Linked DNA regions of Pelodiscus sinensis. The protein of the gene in region 1 purifies or fractionates together with the protein of each later gene. This does not show direct contact. Links are inferred from orthologs where the notes say so. Each region holds a gene or a part of one and is shown on either strand. Other genes may lie near its edges.

Evidence for each region. Proteins that work in one complex are often made in the same cells at the same time.
Region 2: the proteins of CDK7 (region 1) and HSP90AB1 purify together in Homo sapiens (affinity purification with mass spectrometry; 4 studies listed by BioGRID and IntAct, counting the BioPlex papers as one, with this or other methods). This does not show direct contact. The link is inferred for Pelodiscus sinensis from reciprocal best matches to the Homo sapiens genes CDK7 and HSP90AB1.

What each region holds. Positions count from the first base shown.
Region 1 is NC_134716.1:88,001,641-88,009,286, reverse strand, and holds the start of CDK7 (cyclin-dependent kinase 7), read left to right. Parts: upstream 1-4,549; 5' UTR 4,550-4,649; coding exon 4,650-4,709; intron 4,710-7,646. Other genes in the region: KGD4 (alpha-ketoglutarate dehydrogenase component 4), read left to right, coding at 500-517. UniProt on the Homo sapiens protein: Serine/threonine kinase involved in cell cycle control and in RNA polymerase II-mediated RNA transcription. Cyclin-dependent kinases (CDKs) are activated by the binding to a cyclin and mediate the progression through the cell cycle.
Region 2 is NC_134713.1:140,492,661-140,499,652, forward strand, and holds the start of HSP90AB1 (heat shock protein HSP 90-beta), read left to right. Parts: upstream 1-3,907; 5' UTR 3,908-4,044; intron 4,045-4,210; coding exon 4,211-4,357; intron 4,358-4,836; coding exon 4,837-5,043; intron 5,044-5,376; coding exon 5,377-5,536; intron 5,537-5,997; coding exon 5,998-6,131; intron 6,132-6,767; coding exon 6,768-6,992. UniProt on the Homo sapiens protein: Molecular chaperone that promotes the maturation, structural maintenance and proper regulation of specific target proteins involved for instance in cell cycle control and signal transduction. Undergoes a functional cycle linked to its ATPase activity.

The sequences.
Region 1 (7,646 bases):
AGTAATGGAATTAAAGAAAGTATGAAACTTCCTGACATTCAGCCTAAAGGTTTCCCAGCAATGAGGTATTAAGTTGTAAAAATGTAGCAGGGAAACAATGGAAGCATCTGCTGGACACATTAGATTATTAAAACAAAGAATGTTTAAACATGTAACTTGCTTTTTACTGTCTGGGCTTTGTACTGTTGAATGTGGACAAAAGTAACTTACTTTATTGACTAAAACCCTGAAGAAGAAACTAATACTGTAGTGTTTATTTTTACACTAACCTATATCAAAATTACATAAACATTTCTCAGATTTTGTCATGTTTTTTACAAAAGCTAAGTAGAAATTTTGTGTCTGTTCATAAAAGTAATAAATTAAAGATAGAATTCTTAAATGTGCAATAATCCTGTACTGAAAACTACTTTCCTACTTAATAACAAAGTGCAAACCAGCATGTCATCTTCCCTTTCTTTTAGTAGATGGCATATAATTGTCTGCTTCTCTTTTACAGCGTGGAGGTCCAGAATAATTACAGAAGACACTTATACACCACCATTGAATGAATTATTATGTTCACATTAAAGGCCTTCCTCACTCTATGAATGTTATAAACAGTTTGTTAATAGCTTTAATAAAGACCCGGTTTAATGGGGTGAGAAAGTTGACACGTTAGACACTTGTCTTCTAATTTATGTTTCTGGACTAACTTTTTTTATTAAAGACTAATTAAGGTAATTGTGTGAATCCACTTTATAAACCTTCACTATTAAAATGTAATTTAAGCAATACAATTGTCAAGAATATCTATTTTAGTAGCAATTGTTGATCCATATAGGTCCAGATCTAATGCAAAATATTTCTGGCTTATAAGATGAGCATTGCTACTTTTTATTATAAGAACTTTATAAACTTAATATTTTTAGTTTTCAACTGCCAGACATATATATAAAAAAGGGCTTTGATTCTGGCATCCAGAATGGTGGCTGCTTGCTCTGAAAATGTATGCACTTCCTGGGGTAGAGAACAGCATTAAGATAGAGGGGATCAACTTATTCTTGGACTAGCTTTATTAATTTAAATTATGTTTGGAACAGATTTTAAACTCACCTGCCTCCACATTATTAGAGAAAACTACCAGTCAGAGCTGATTCTAGCTTTCCTGAGCTTTCGAGGTCAGATGCATTATGGGGCTGATGGGTTTGGCCTCAAGAAGAGAATTACAGGTATCCTTTACTACTTTCCATGTTTGCTCAAAAAAATAATCATAAACCTTAAGTAAAAGAGAGATTAAAAAATTGAGTGCCACATCTGCTAAGTACTCCTTATACCTTGAGCAATTTTAACAGGTTAAACTATGCCACTATCCCAGTAAGGTGGAGACTGTCCCTTCTATGCCTTGATGCTTACTAGCACAGAAATAAGGTTTTTGTTTTATACCTTTCAGTCTATTAAAATAGACTTTAGACCCTTCTTAGAAGATACAAAACCAGTCTGAGGGGTAGAGTTGCAAAGTTACAGTCTCATGTTGGGGAAAGAACTTGCCTACTGTCTTTTCAAGATAATATCTGAGTGGTTTTCAGGTTCAGTTGTCAGCTTGATTGATTCTGTATGAGTCAAAGTAAATGTAAACTCTAAAGTCTTGAAGTGTAGCTGCTGACAAACGAGACCCACTTCAGGATACATAGAGCTTTGAATCCACATCTATATCTGTAGAAATGAGCCACTGATATTGGCATCTATGGTTGTGAATACCCACAGATATCCATCGATTTACAGGGCTCTAATATGCCATATTTACAGATAAGGATGGGCAACACTATATCAGCTCTGTTTAGCTAGCAAAACAAAACAAAAAACTCTGTCTTACTACTTAAATAGTGATAGAAATGTAGCCGTGTTAGTCTGGGGTAGCTGAAGCAAAATGCAGGACAATGTAGCACATTAAAGACCTAACAAGATGGTTTATTAGATGATGAGCTTTCGTGGGCCAGACCCACTTCCTCAGATCAAATAGTGGAAGAAAATAGTCACAACCATATATACCAAAGGATACAATTAAAAAAATGAACACATATGAAAAGGACAAATCACATTTCAGAACAGGAGAGGGATGCGGGGGAGAGGGGGGAAGGAAGGAAGGTAAGTAAGTGTCTGTGAATTGATGATATTAGAGGTGGGGAGAATGGGATGTCTGTGAGCTAATGGTATTAGAGGTGATAATTGGGGAAGCTATCCTGGTAATGGGTAAGATAGTTTGAGTGTTTGTTCATTCCTTCTTGGAGAGTGTCGAATTTTAACATGAATGACAGTTCAGAGGATTCCCTTTCAAGTGCAGATGTAAAAGGTCTTTGTAGCAGAATGCAGGTGGTTAAGTCATTGAGAGAGTGTCCTTTCTGGTTAAAATGGCAAGAAACTGTTTTTTCTTTGTGATCTTGTCTATCTGTTTCGTGGGCATTAATCCTTTGGCGAAGTGTCTGAGATGTTTGTCCAATGTACATAGCAGACGGACACTTTCGGCACATGATAGCATAGATTATATTTCTGGATGCGCAGGAATATGTGTTCTTGATCTTATAATTCACTTGGTTAGGTCCAATAATGGTATCAGCAGAATGAATATGTGGACAAAGCTGGCAACGGGGTTTGTTGCAGGGGAAGGTACCAGGGTTGGTATTAGTGTGGTATGTCCTGGTAAGAATCATCTTGAGGTTAGGTGGTTGTCTATAGGAGACTATGGGTCTGTCTCCCAGAGTCTCTTGGAGTATGGTATCCTGTTCCAGTATAGGCTGTAGTTTATTGATAATGTGTTGGACAGGTTTAAGTTGGGGGTTGTAGGTGATGACAAGTGGTGTTCTATTGTTGTTTTTCTTGGGTCTGTCTTGTGGGACCAGTCCTATTGAATCTATTGTATGTTTGAGAAAGCTTGAGAGTGAGTCTGTCCCTCCATTTGTTCAAGAACTAAAGGGTAAGAGCTAGGACCACCAAATTTGGTATGCAGCTTCCTCATATAACTTAAAGCAAGGTAAAGATTTGGTTCTGCGTGGAAGGTGGGGAAGGGGAAATCTGGAAATAATTGTCTGAACAGGGGAGTTGAAGCACACAAAGGATGAATGATTTGCTCAAGGTCATGGAAGTTTGTCAGAACAAGGAACATAGAATCCAGTTTTTCTGTCAGAACAAAAAATATAGAAACCAGATCTCCTGATTACTAGTCATGAGCTCTGGAACACAAACCGTTCTTTTCCCAAAGTACAAAATGGGGATGCCAAAACATACTGAAGAGTATATTAAACAAAGATTAATTTGTTCATATGATTACTGTGCATTACTTACACATGGATGAATAAAAGAGTTTAATTCAATTCTTGTCTACCTGAGGAAATTTGAACAGCTTCCCCTTCTCAACACTTAGGCCAGAATAAGTATATCCACACACTGAGCTTTTCTGGATTAGTGCTTTAAAATAATGTTTAAGTGTATTTAATGTGTCAATATGACCAGTTCTAACTGGAGGTTGGCTGCTACTTCCAGTATAATTGAATGGTTGCATAGAAGGGATAATACCATGCTGAAATGCAGAGCATGCAATAAAAAGAGCAGTTTCTTGCAAGAGTTAATTGTATAGTTCTAATAAACTGGCTTGTTAAATCAAGTGCACATTCCACTAGCACTGGTAGGAGGTCGTAGCCAGGATGTGAAACATGGATGAAAGTAACTCGAAGGAGTATACTCTGTCCAAATTTTCCTGAAAATGATTCCACTTGAGAGCTGGAATATTAATCATAAAGTGCTGTTATACTGAGCTTGATGAGAGCTTTTTAAAAAAACCAGATAATGAAGTGATGGGATTCTGCCTTTTAGACCACCATACTCCTAAATTCTGACAATAAAGCAAAACAAAAAAAATCACTTTGAATATTTTATTCCTCTAACCTCCTCTGCTGTTGAATAATCTTATAGCAGTACTCTTCAGGAATGGTTTGGCTCCACCTAGGCTTGAGCAAGAGGTTGTGACTTGTCAACTGTGATCCATGCCTATCACCCCCAGCCCATATCGCTGAAGTGCACTTTTAAAGGAGCTCACACCTCTACAAATTAAAGGGGAGGCCTGCAGCTGTGTCTCAGTGGCAACCTGGTAGAGGGGAAGGTGTTGGTGAGTGTCCGAGGGGGCGGGGAGAGTTGAATTCAGGCTCGAGCGCCCCTTTTCCCAAAGCTGGTGTCCCTGCCTCTCGTTATGGGAACCGCCCCCGTCCCTAGCGGCGAGCCTGGTGAGGCCGGGCTGTATGCGTGCTCGGCTGGCTTCAGGCAAGCTCCCCGCCCGGAGCTGCTCAACGGGCCGCAATGGTCCAGTGCCCTGGTCACCCCGCCATGCTCAGTAAGACCCCGCGCGACCCGTCCTGCCCCGCTCGCGGCCGGTGTCTGACCCGGGGCGGACTCCGAGAGGGCCGGAACCTAAGACCGCCGAGAAACGCGGGCTACTTAGTGACTGTTGCTAGAGCGGGACGCTGGCGCCGCGAGAACACCTCATTGCAGCCGCTGGGACGGCGCATGCGCCGGAAGCTCGGAAACGGGGCGGGGTTCCGCGTGGGGGCCGGAAGTAGCGGCGCTCAAGCAGTGACGGTTTTAAATCCCCTCGGTCCGGTTCCTCTTCTCGGCTGGTGATGGACGCGAGGATGCGAGCGAAGCGCTACGAGAAGCTCGATTTCTTGGGCGAGGGGCAGGTGAGGCCTGTGAGGGGGTGTCTGGACAGGGGCCTGGGCTGGCCAGTTGGGGGGTTCGGCTCGGGGCAGGGGGTCGGGCCAAGCCGGGCTGCGGTGTCCGTGTGGGGAGTGACTCCCGTTACATCCACCAATCCCATAGCTGCTGTATCGCAGCAGAAGTCGATCCGCAGCCGGACAGCGTGTGGCTCGGGGTGGGTGTGAGAGGGGCCTGAGTGCTGGGCGGAGGGTGGGGATGTGGGGTGAAGACTGGCTGGGCGTGTGGGCTCTGGAGTGGGGCTGGGCAGGAGAGTTTCAGGGCGCAGGCTTCTCGGGAGAGAGGAGACTTTCAGCCCTCTCACCGCAGCGGCCTGAGTCCAGGCGAGAGGTGTCTCTCCAGGGCTGTTGCAGCTCCAGCTGGCACAGCGAGGGCAGGGACACCTGTCCCCTAACTGGGGGAGTTCCAGGCTCTGGGTTGGGATCTGGGAAGGGACACCTGATTCCCCAACAGAGTGGGATGGACACTGTTGCCAAGGGAGTGGTGTGCCTTAAAGGCCCCAAAATAGAACTGCTGTGGTCAGGGGAGCTCGACCCCTCCTTGCAGGCTCTGGCATAGAGCTGGCTTGGTATCTCTTCTGCAGAAGCTCTGTGTTAGAACTGGTGAGGATAGGGGCTTTTGTCCTAGCTACTCCAGGATTGTGCTGGGGCCAGCAGGCAGAGGCAGCACTCTGTGTGGTGGTCCTGAGCCTCTCCACAAGGCTTCGTAGGCAGCTGCATGGCCATCTGGCTACACAACATAAAGGGAAACTTAGCTAGTCTGGGGTGGCGGTAGGGGAGCCAGGGCTGGCCAGTGCTATGGGATGAGAGGTGGGAGTTGCAACTTGGAAGAGGGTGGGCTGGGACTGGCCTGTGCCAAGGGTTGAGGTGTCTGCTGAGGACCATCCTAGCCTCTGTTATAATGAGGCTGAGGAAATTGAGAAGGTGTGACTAGGTGTAGAGGCTGTGGGTTGGCAACTGCAGTCCATTAAATTAAATTATACTCTGGACATATGACTTAGGTTGTAATATTATTGTTCCCTTGTTTTGTTTCCGTGGTATGAAAGAGACAAATTTAGTGAGACTATGCCATCTGCTACCTATTAAGGTCACTTTTAAGCCAGCTCCACGCACATGCCAGCTCCCAAGGATCTGTCTGATCCTCCCACTACTGCCTCCCGCAGAGGTGAAGGTGGGGAAGGGAGCCAGTGCTCACAGGGATCCAGCTTAAAAGTTGGCTCCCCCCGCGTACTGGCTCCTGCCTGCCCCCTCCCCACCCCGTGCTGCTGCCTCTGTATTAGAGGCAGCAGTACAGGGGGGCAGACGACTCTTCGAGAGCTGGTGCTTGCAGTAAGCCAGCTTAAAAGCCAGCTCTGCACACACACCGACTCCCATCTCCCATCCCTCCCCCTCCACTGCCTCTGATAGAGACAGCGGAGGTGGGGGGGAAAGGGTGTAACTGTGGGCTAACCAGTGAGCCCAGGCATATTGGTAAACAGTGTACTTGAGTACACATCGACATCCTTAGCAGGATCGTTGCTAGCAGATCAAGAAGTGATTATTCCCCTCCGTTTGGCACTGGGGAGGCCACATCTGGAGTTCTGTATCCTGTTCTCTCACATGCACACACACGATACAGAAAAGATGTGGACAAATTGTAGAGAGTCCAGGGAAGGGTAACAAAAATGATTAGGAGGCTAGGGCACGTGACTTATGAGGAGAAGTGGAGGGACCTGAGTTTATTTAGACTGCAGAAGAGAAGAATGAGGGGAAATTTGATAGCCTTCAACTACTGAAGTGGAGGAGGGTTCCAAAGAGGATGGAGACAGGCTATTAGATGAGTCCATAGAAGAAGCTCTTTGTTCTATCAAGTTGCAATGAAGGGAGGTCTAGGTTGGATGTTAGGGGAAATTACAGTAAACTTCCGATAATCCGACACCTTTAGGACCTAGGGGGTGCCGGATTATCAGATATGACAGACTATCGGAAGGGGGGGCTATGAGGGGTCTAGGGTGGTGTGGGGGGGATGCCACCCCAGACCCCTCATAGCCCTCCATTCGGTAGTCCGGCTCTGCCCCAGGCATGCCCGAATCAGCTGCTGCTGGTCAGTTTCAGCAGCAGCTGAATCGGGACGCCTGCTGCAGAGCAGCTGGGGTGCTGCCAGGTTGGTCCGGTAGCGCTGCCCCTTGGCGCCGCGAGATCAACCCGGCAGTACCTCAGTTGCTCTTGGTGACGCCTGGGGCAGAGCAGCTGGGGTGCTTCCGGGTTGGTCCCACAGCCCCAAGGGGCGGCGCTACTGGACCAACTCAGCAGCACCCCAGCTGCTCTGCCCCAGGCATCCCCAGTTCAGCCGCCCGTTGAAACTGACCAGCAGCTGACTCCGGGAAGCCTGGGGCGGAGCAGCTCTGCCTCAGGCTTCCCGGAGTCAGCCGTCAGCCACTGGTCAGTTTCAGCAGCGGCTGAATTGGGGACAGCTGGGGTGCTTCCGGGTTGGTCCCGCAGCACCGAGGGGCAGTGCTATGGGACCTATTGGCAGCACTCCAGCTGCTCTGCCCCCGGCTTCCCTGATTCAGCTGCTGGTCAGTTTCAGCATCAGCTGAATCAGGGAAGCCGGGGACAGAGCAGCTCCAATGGTCCGGCTGCCTGGAGCATTTCCGGGTTCCTGATGGTGCTGGACCATCCGGAGTGCCGGACCACCAGATGTCAGATCAATGGAGTTTTACTGTATTTCACTAAGAGGATGGTGAAGCACTGGAATAGATTGCCTAGGGAGGTGGTGGAATTTACACCCTTAGAGGTTTTTGAGCCCTGTCTGGAATGATTTGGTTGGGATTGGTACTGCTTGGAGCACGAGAATGGAATAGATGACCCCCTGAGGTCTATTCCAACCCTAACCTTCTATAATTCTTTATCTATGAAGAACAC
Region 2 (6,992 bases), on another chromosome or scaffold:
GACCTCTCAGGGTGGCTTGGTGTAAGGGTTGTCTCAGAGCTCTGACTTCCTCCCTCTTTGCCAGCAATACTGCAGGGATCTCCCTCCGGCACCTGATTATAGTTTGTCATGGAATTAAGTTTCATTGGATGCATTGCCTGCAGCTCTGTCCTCCACCCCATGGCACCACTTAGGGCAAATGTGTCCACCAGGGGTTTTTTCTTGTGGCCCCAGCCTCCTGGGCTGGGCTGGAGAGGAAGTGGCTTCTCCCAGTTGCTCCTGGATGTATTGCTTTGGTGTTTGATGGAACCTAGGTCAACCTAACGTTTTAGTGTGGAGCAGGCCCAGTTTGAGCATGAATTACAGTGGTTTACATTACATGTAGCTGCATGAGGGGTTTCCCCAGGTTACCTACCAATTGGTTAGTTATACTGGTGCAAAAAGCCCATGCCTAGGCCATCCCTAAGGCTGCATCTTGGAAATGGGGTGTTGAGAACAATAGGCATTTCCCAGGGCTTCCCCCATTTTAAAACTGTCCCCCATCCTCCCCAGCCCCTGCTGGATAATGGGGAGCAAGAAGATAATGGTGGGTGGAAAGCAGGTGGGTACTGTGAGCTTGCAAACCTACCATAAGCCAAGGGCAAGAAGGCTTTTTTTCTTGCTTCTACTCTGTTTATAATGTTGTCCACGTTAGAAAGGTTGCTCTGATTAAACTCTGTTGGTTTCTAAACCAATAAGATGACAGCAATACAAAAACCCCACAGAGACCAGTCCTAAGTATTATCCCTCAACACAAGCAGGGAGAGTGTGGCTGCTCCCCCCCAAAACATGATAGGGCAATTTGATCCCTTGCATCACTCTGGAATTTCTCTCACTACATGAGTTTCCATGGGGTAAATGCCTGAGAGCTGCCAAGGGCAGGGGAGGGAAAGAACATGGGACAATCATTTCATGGGGTCCGTCCAAACTCTTTTGGGACAATTGCCGCAAGACTTCACAGGTGCAAGGTGGGAGTCCATGGACCAAGTAGGCAACTCTAAAGCTTCATTGTGTAGAAATATTCGCTTAGGCACAGAACTCTTCAGTATTTGTTTTTAATATTAGTCTCTGCCTTTTCCCCAGAACTGTTCACTTAAAAACAAATTGAATGGCTAAAATAAAAAAAAACCACAATGTTATAAATATGCTGCTATTGATTGTTTACCTACCAGGACTTTTTTTTTTCTTTCCTTTCCTTATTTAAAATAAAGACATTTCCAAAACACTCTCATTTTACACTATTTTTTTCTCTGTTATTTCTCCTTTCATCTAGTTTAAAACAAAACACAGCAAAACCCAGATATTTTCCTTTTAAGAGGTAGAAATTAATGGTTCACCCAGTCTGGCATCCTGCCTCTGGCAGTGGCTAATTCCAGATGAGTAAGAAAAAGGTGACAAATTTTCATCAGACCTATGGTTAAGGAAGGTCTCAACATGCAAAGGGACATCAATCTGATTGTGTGAGCAAAGAAATCTGTGCTGGCAGAACTGGGGCCTAAGTATCCCAGCAACAGCAACCAGCCTGGCCACCACACGGCCACAGCCCTGACTCCCGGTGGCAGCAACCCGCCCGCCTGCAGCTCTGATGGCGTAGCAACCCACCTGTCCATGGCCCCAGCCCTTGATAGCAGTAATCCACCCAGCCATGGCCCCAACCCCGGAGGCAGCAAACCATCGACCCACAGAGCTCTAACCCCCAGCGCAGCAACACACCCGTGGTTCTGACCCCTAGAGCAGCAACCCACCCACCTTGTGGCCTTGGCTCTGGCAGCAGCCACCCTCTGATACAGCCCAGGGCCTACCCTGCCACGGGGGCCCCGGTTCTGGGAGCAGCCACACCACTCACCTTCCAGATTCAGCAGGAAGGTGAGTGCTGCTGTACTGCTCTGTGAAGGAGGTGGGTTGGGTTAGAATTGTTTGTGTGCGGTCATGCACTTTAGAGGGAACACTGGTCCAGAGTTACAAATAAATAGCAGAAAAAGAGGGGCTGGGGAGGGAAAGGAAAGGGGGGGAATTATCAATTACAGTGTCTGTGCTAAATGAGGCTAATTGAGTGGGCTATAAATGCCCAATACTTAACTTGTAATGTCATTAGGGTGTTGAATGTAGTGCCCCATCCAAGTAACGTCTTTGTTCAGACCTTGGTTAAAGGTGTCAAAGTTGCAGATGAAGGTGATTTCTGCAGCTTCTCTTTCCAGCTGGTTTTTTAAATTGCTTTGTAACAGGATGGTCACTTTGAGATCTATTAGTGACTGCCTGGTCAGGAAAAAATGTTCCCCAACGGGTTTCTGTATGTTTCCATTTTGAGTATCTGATTCGTGTCCATTAATCCTTTGTCATAGAGACTGTCCAGTTTGGCTAATGTACATGGCAGACAGGCATTGCTGACACAAATCACATTAGTGGATGTGCAGTTGTATGAGCCTCTGATGTGGTGGCTTATGTGGTTAGGTCCTGTGATGATGTTGCTTATCATAGAATCATAGAACCATAGAGCTGGAAGAGACCTCAGAAGGTCAAGTCCACCCCCCTGGTCTAGACAGGACCAATCCCAACTAAATCAACCCAGCCAGGGCTTTGTCAAGCCTTAAACACCTCTAGGGATGGAGACTCCACTACTTCCCTAGGTAAGCCATTCCAGCACTTCACCACTCTCCTAGTGAAATAGTTTTTCCTAATATCCAACCTGGATCTCTCCCACCATAACTTGAGATCATTGCTTCTTGTTCTGCCACCTGTCACTAATGAGAACAGCCTCTCTCCATCCTCTTTGGAACCTCCCTTCAGGAAGTTGAAGGCTGTTATCAAATCCCCCCTCACTCTTCACTTCTGCAGACTAAACAGACCCAACTCCTTCAGCCTCTCCTTATAGGTCATATGCTCCAGCCTCCTAATCATTTTGGTTGCCCTCCGCTGGACCCTCTCCAATGCGTCCACATCCTTTTCGTAGTGGGGGGTCCAGAACTGGACACAATACTCCAGATATGGCTTCACCAGAGCTGAATAAAGGGGAATAATCACATCTCTGGATCTGCTGGCTTGCATAGATGTGTGGACAGAGCTGGCGCTGGAGTTGATTGCAGGGGTGCATTCCTGGATGAGTATGATGGAGGTGTGCTGCGTGGTTACAGGAGAGAATTTGTTTGAGGTTAGGGGGTTGTCTATATTTGAGGACTGGCTTATCCCCCAAGGCCTGTGAGAGTGAGGGGTCATTTTCCAGGATAGGTTGTAGATGGTTGATGATGCGTTGGAGGGGTTTAAGTTGGGGTCTATGGTTTAAATGGTGTCTTGTTTTCTTTGTTGGGTCTATCTTGAAGAAGCCGATGCCTGAGTACTTGTCTGGCTCTGTCAATCTGTTTTTTTCATTTCCCTGGTGGGTATTTCAGTTTTAAGAATGCCTGATAGAGACTCTGTAGGTGTTTGTCTCTGTCTGTGAGATTGGAGCAAATCCAGCTTTATCGTAGGGCCTGGCTGTAAACAGTTGATTGAGAAATGTGTCTTGCATGGAAGTTAGCCTGGTTTAGCAGGACACTCTAATTGACAATTTTCCCCCTTCTCTTTCCCTCCCCATCACCTCTTTTTCTGCTATTTATTTGTACCTCTGGACCCCTTGCTCCATCCATCTGAAGAACTGGGCTGTGCCCACAGCTCCTCTGCATGGTTTGTTAGTCTCTAAGTGCTGCAGGACTATTTGTTGTTTTTTAATTTTTTTCAATAGTGGGATGACATGGTAGCAGGAGATAGCTCAAAAGTAGGGTGACAGAGTAGCGGGGTATAAGGAGCTTCCCGGGTATTGAGGGAACTGGGGAGTATGAGCGCGGTGGGAAAAGAGAAAGTACCAGGATCCACAGCAATCATGGGCCCCGCAAGACCCAGCGTGGCCCTTTTAAGGCGGAGGGATCCAGGGGCCGGGCTCAGCCCCTATATAAGGCTGGCGGAGGGGGTGCCGGCTTCTTTCTCCCGGCCGCACCGCAGCGCCAGTAGCAGGGACTGAGCTCGCTCCTGCCCGAACCCCAGCCCATCACGGTAAAGGCGGGGCGGGCGGGCTCGGCTGGGGAGGGGGGGGGGGCACGTGGCGCCGCCGGGCGCTGCCATGTTGAGCGCGGCGGGGGGGCGGCTCGCGGGGCCGGGCCGCGCGGCCGGTGCCGTTGACCGGTCGGGCGCGCGCTGATGCGGGCTGTCCGCGTTGCAGATGCCGGAAGCCGCGCAGCATGGCGAGGAGGAAGTGGAGACCTTCGCCTTCCAGGCCGAGATCGCGCAGCTCATGTCGCTCATCATCAACACCTTCTACTCCAACAAGGAGATCTTCCTGCGCGAGCTCGTCTCCAACGCCTCCGACGTGAGCCCCCCCCCCCCCCCCCCCCCCGCCTGCCCTTGGGCCAGCCCGGGCCGCGCGCGCTAACGGCCTTCGCCAGCGGCGCCCGCCCTTGGGAATCCCCTCGGCGTCCCTCCCCCGCCAGCCTCCCTGGCGCAGGGGAGCCACAGCCCAGGGCGGGTTTGCCCCGCTGCCCTTGGGGGAGCGGGCATGGAGGCGGCATCCAGCGTCACCCGTTGGTCTGCAGGGATTCTCTCTTCCTGGGGGTGGGGTGGGGTGAGCCCATCTCTGGCCTGTGTGTTGCTCCGATGGGGTATCCACAGTGCTGCTCTCATGCAGGGCCTTGTGTTTTACCCCTTGGAGGGGTTTGAGTGAGCCCAGGCCCTTTGTTGGGGGTGTGTGTCATGCTCCCCTTCCTCTCCAGAGCAGGCAGAGGACGAGATCCAAGGAGCAGGTAGGTGAATAGTAACTGGGCCTTGCAAACCTTCACTCTTCTCCTCCAGGCCCTGGACAAGATCCGTTATGAGAGCCTGACAGATCCCTCAAAGCTAGACAGTGGCAAAGAGCTAAAAATTGACATCATCCCAAACCCCCGGGACCGCACCCTGACTCTGGTAGACACAGGCATCGGTATGACAAAGGCCGACCTCATCAACAACCTGGGCACCATTGCCAAGTCTGGTACTAAAGCCTTCATGGAAGCCCTTCAGGTGAGTAGTCTTGAGTCCGGGCACAAGAGCGTGTGGGCCTGGGCACCTCCTGGGCTCGTGTCCTTCATAGGGCCTTACAGCTTCAACACTCAGTGTTTGCTGGAGGGACAGTCGCCTTCTGGGTCCGCATCCTCCCAGGGAGCAGCATAGAGTGCTCTTGGCTTGCCCACGTGTTTCCCTGCTCCCTCCTGCACATAGAGAAGGTGGCGGGGCCCTGCCCTATCCCTGTCTCTACTGTGCATTGGCCCAGTTCCCTGCTACTGGAACACACCTGACAGACATCGCCGATTTCTGGTGTCCTGATCTTCTCATTCTGTCTCCTTCCCTCTGCAGGCTGGTGCTGACATCTCCATGATTGGGCAGTTTGGTGTGGGCTTCTACTCCGCCTATCTGGTGGCTGAAAAGGTGGTGGTCATCTCCAAGCACAATGATGATGAGCAGTATGCCTGGGAGTCATCAGCTGGGGGCTCCTTCACTGTTAAAACTGATCATGGTATGTACTGTGGAGATGGGGCTTGCAAGGAACCAGCTGCCCCTCTCCTCTCTATCTTCCATGGGGTCCCATGGCTTTGAGAGGGTCGATGATATGGGGGGGGGGGTGAGGTGTTGTAGCCTTAACTGCTACTGGTGGTGAAACAATCACGGGGGGAGAAGGTCGCAGGGTTGTGTGTGAAGGTGAAAGTAACCTGTCATCTTGGGTTAGGTCTCAGGGCTATCCTGTAGGTGCAAGAGGAGAAGGCTACTCTCAATGCTAACCAAAGCCATGGTTTAAGCTTGGTGCAGGCTCAGTACTAGCAGTGCATCTGCCCTACTTTCTCATGACCTTGGCTCCCATTAGAAACACTGTGATGATCCTCCCTTTAGTTTAGCGGTGGGCTGCACCTGCCATTGACATGAGATCTCCAGTGAGCTCTGTCCAGCGGTAATGCCACAGCCTCTCTCCTGGTGCCACAGGTGAGCCCATCGGGCGCGGCACCAAGGTGATCCTGTACTTGAAGGAGGATCAGACAGAGTACCTGGAGGAACGGCGGGTCAAGGAGGTGGTGAAGAAGCACTCACAGTTCATTGGCTACCCCATCACCCTTTACGTACGTATGTGAGATGGCAGGACCCATGAGAAGGACAGATAGAACATGGGAGAGGCCCAGGCTGAGACTGGGGAGAGATTGGTACATTCTGCCTTGAGCCTTCCTATCCCCCCGTGTGTGTATGTAAGAGACTGTGATGGGTGAAGGCAAGAGCTGGGCACTCATCCTGCTGCTAAGGAGTTGGCCAGAAGAATGGTACGAGTGGAAACTAGCTCACTGCCTCTAGGGGGAGGGTATCACAGAAGGGGTATACTGTTCTATCAAACTCACATCCCTAAAATCCATGCCGGTGCTTTGGGCCAGCACCTCCCCTACCTGGTGAGGGGGTGGGGCTGGAATTCCAGCCCTCTGTCTCCTCTTGTTTGGGCCTCTAGTGCATGAGCTATGGGAGGTCTCAACCAGCTGGGGGTGGCCATGGTTCCTTATCCTCTTGGTTGTCCCAGCCACTGAAAGGCACCATTTGCAAAATGTGAACCAGTGCTTTATGTGCCGTGCATCACGGCAATGTTTAGCTTAGTAGGACACCTACCTCCCTTGGGGCTATGGTGTTTGTCACTGCCCTGATCTTCTGCAAATAGGAGGCCCTGAGTAAGCTAGTTGTCTTTGCCACGGCCGTCTTTCTACCTCTTCCTACAGCTGGAGAAAGAGCGGGAAAAGGAAATCAGTGACGATGAGGAAGAGAAGGAGGAGAAAGAGGATGAGGACACAGCCCCCAAGGATGAGAAGCCCAAGATAGAGGACGTGGGCTCAGATGAGGAGGAAGAGGAGGGTGGTAAGGGCAAGAAGAAGAAGACCAAGAAGATCAAGGAGAAATACATTGACCAGGAGGAGCTGAACAAGACAAAGCCCATCTGGACCCGC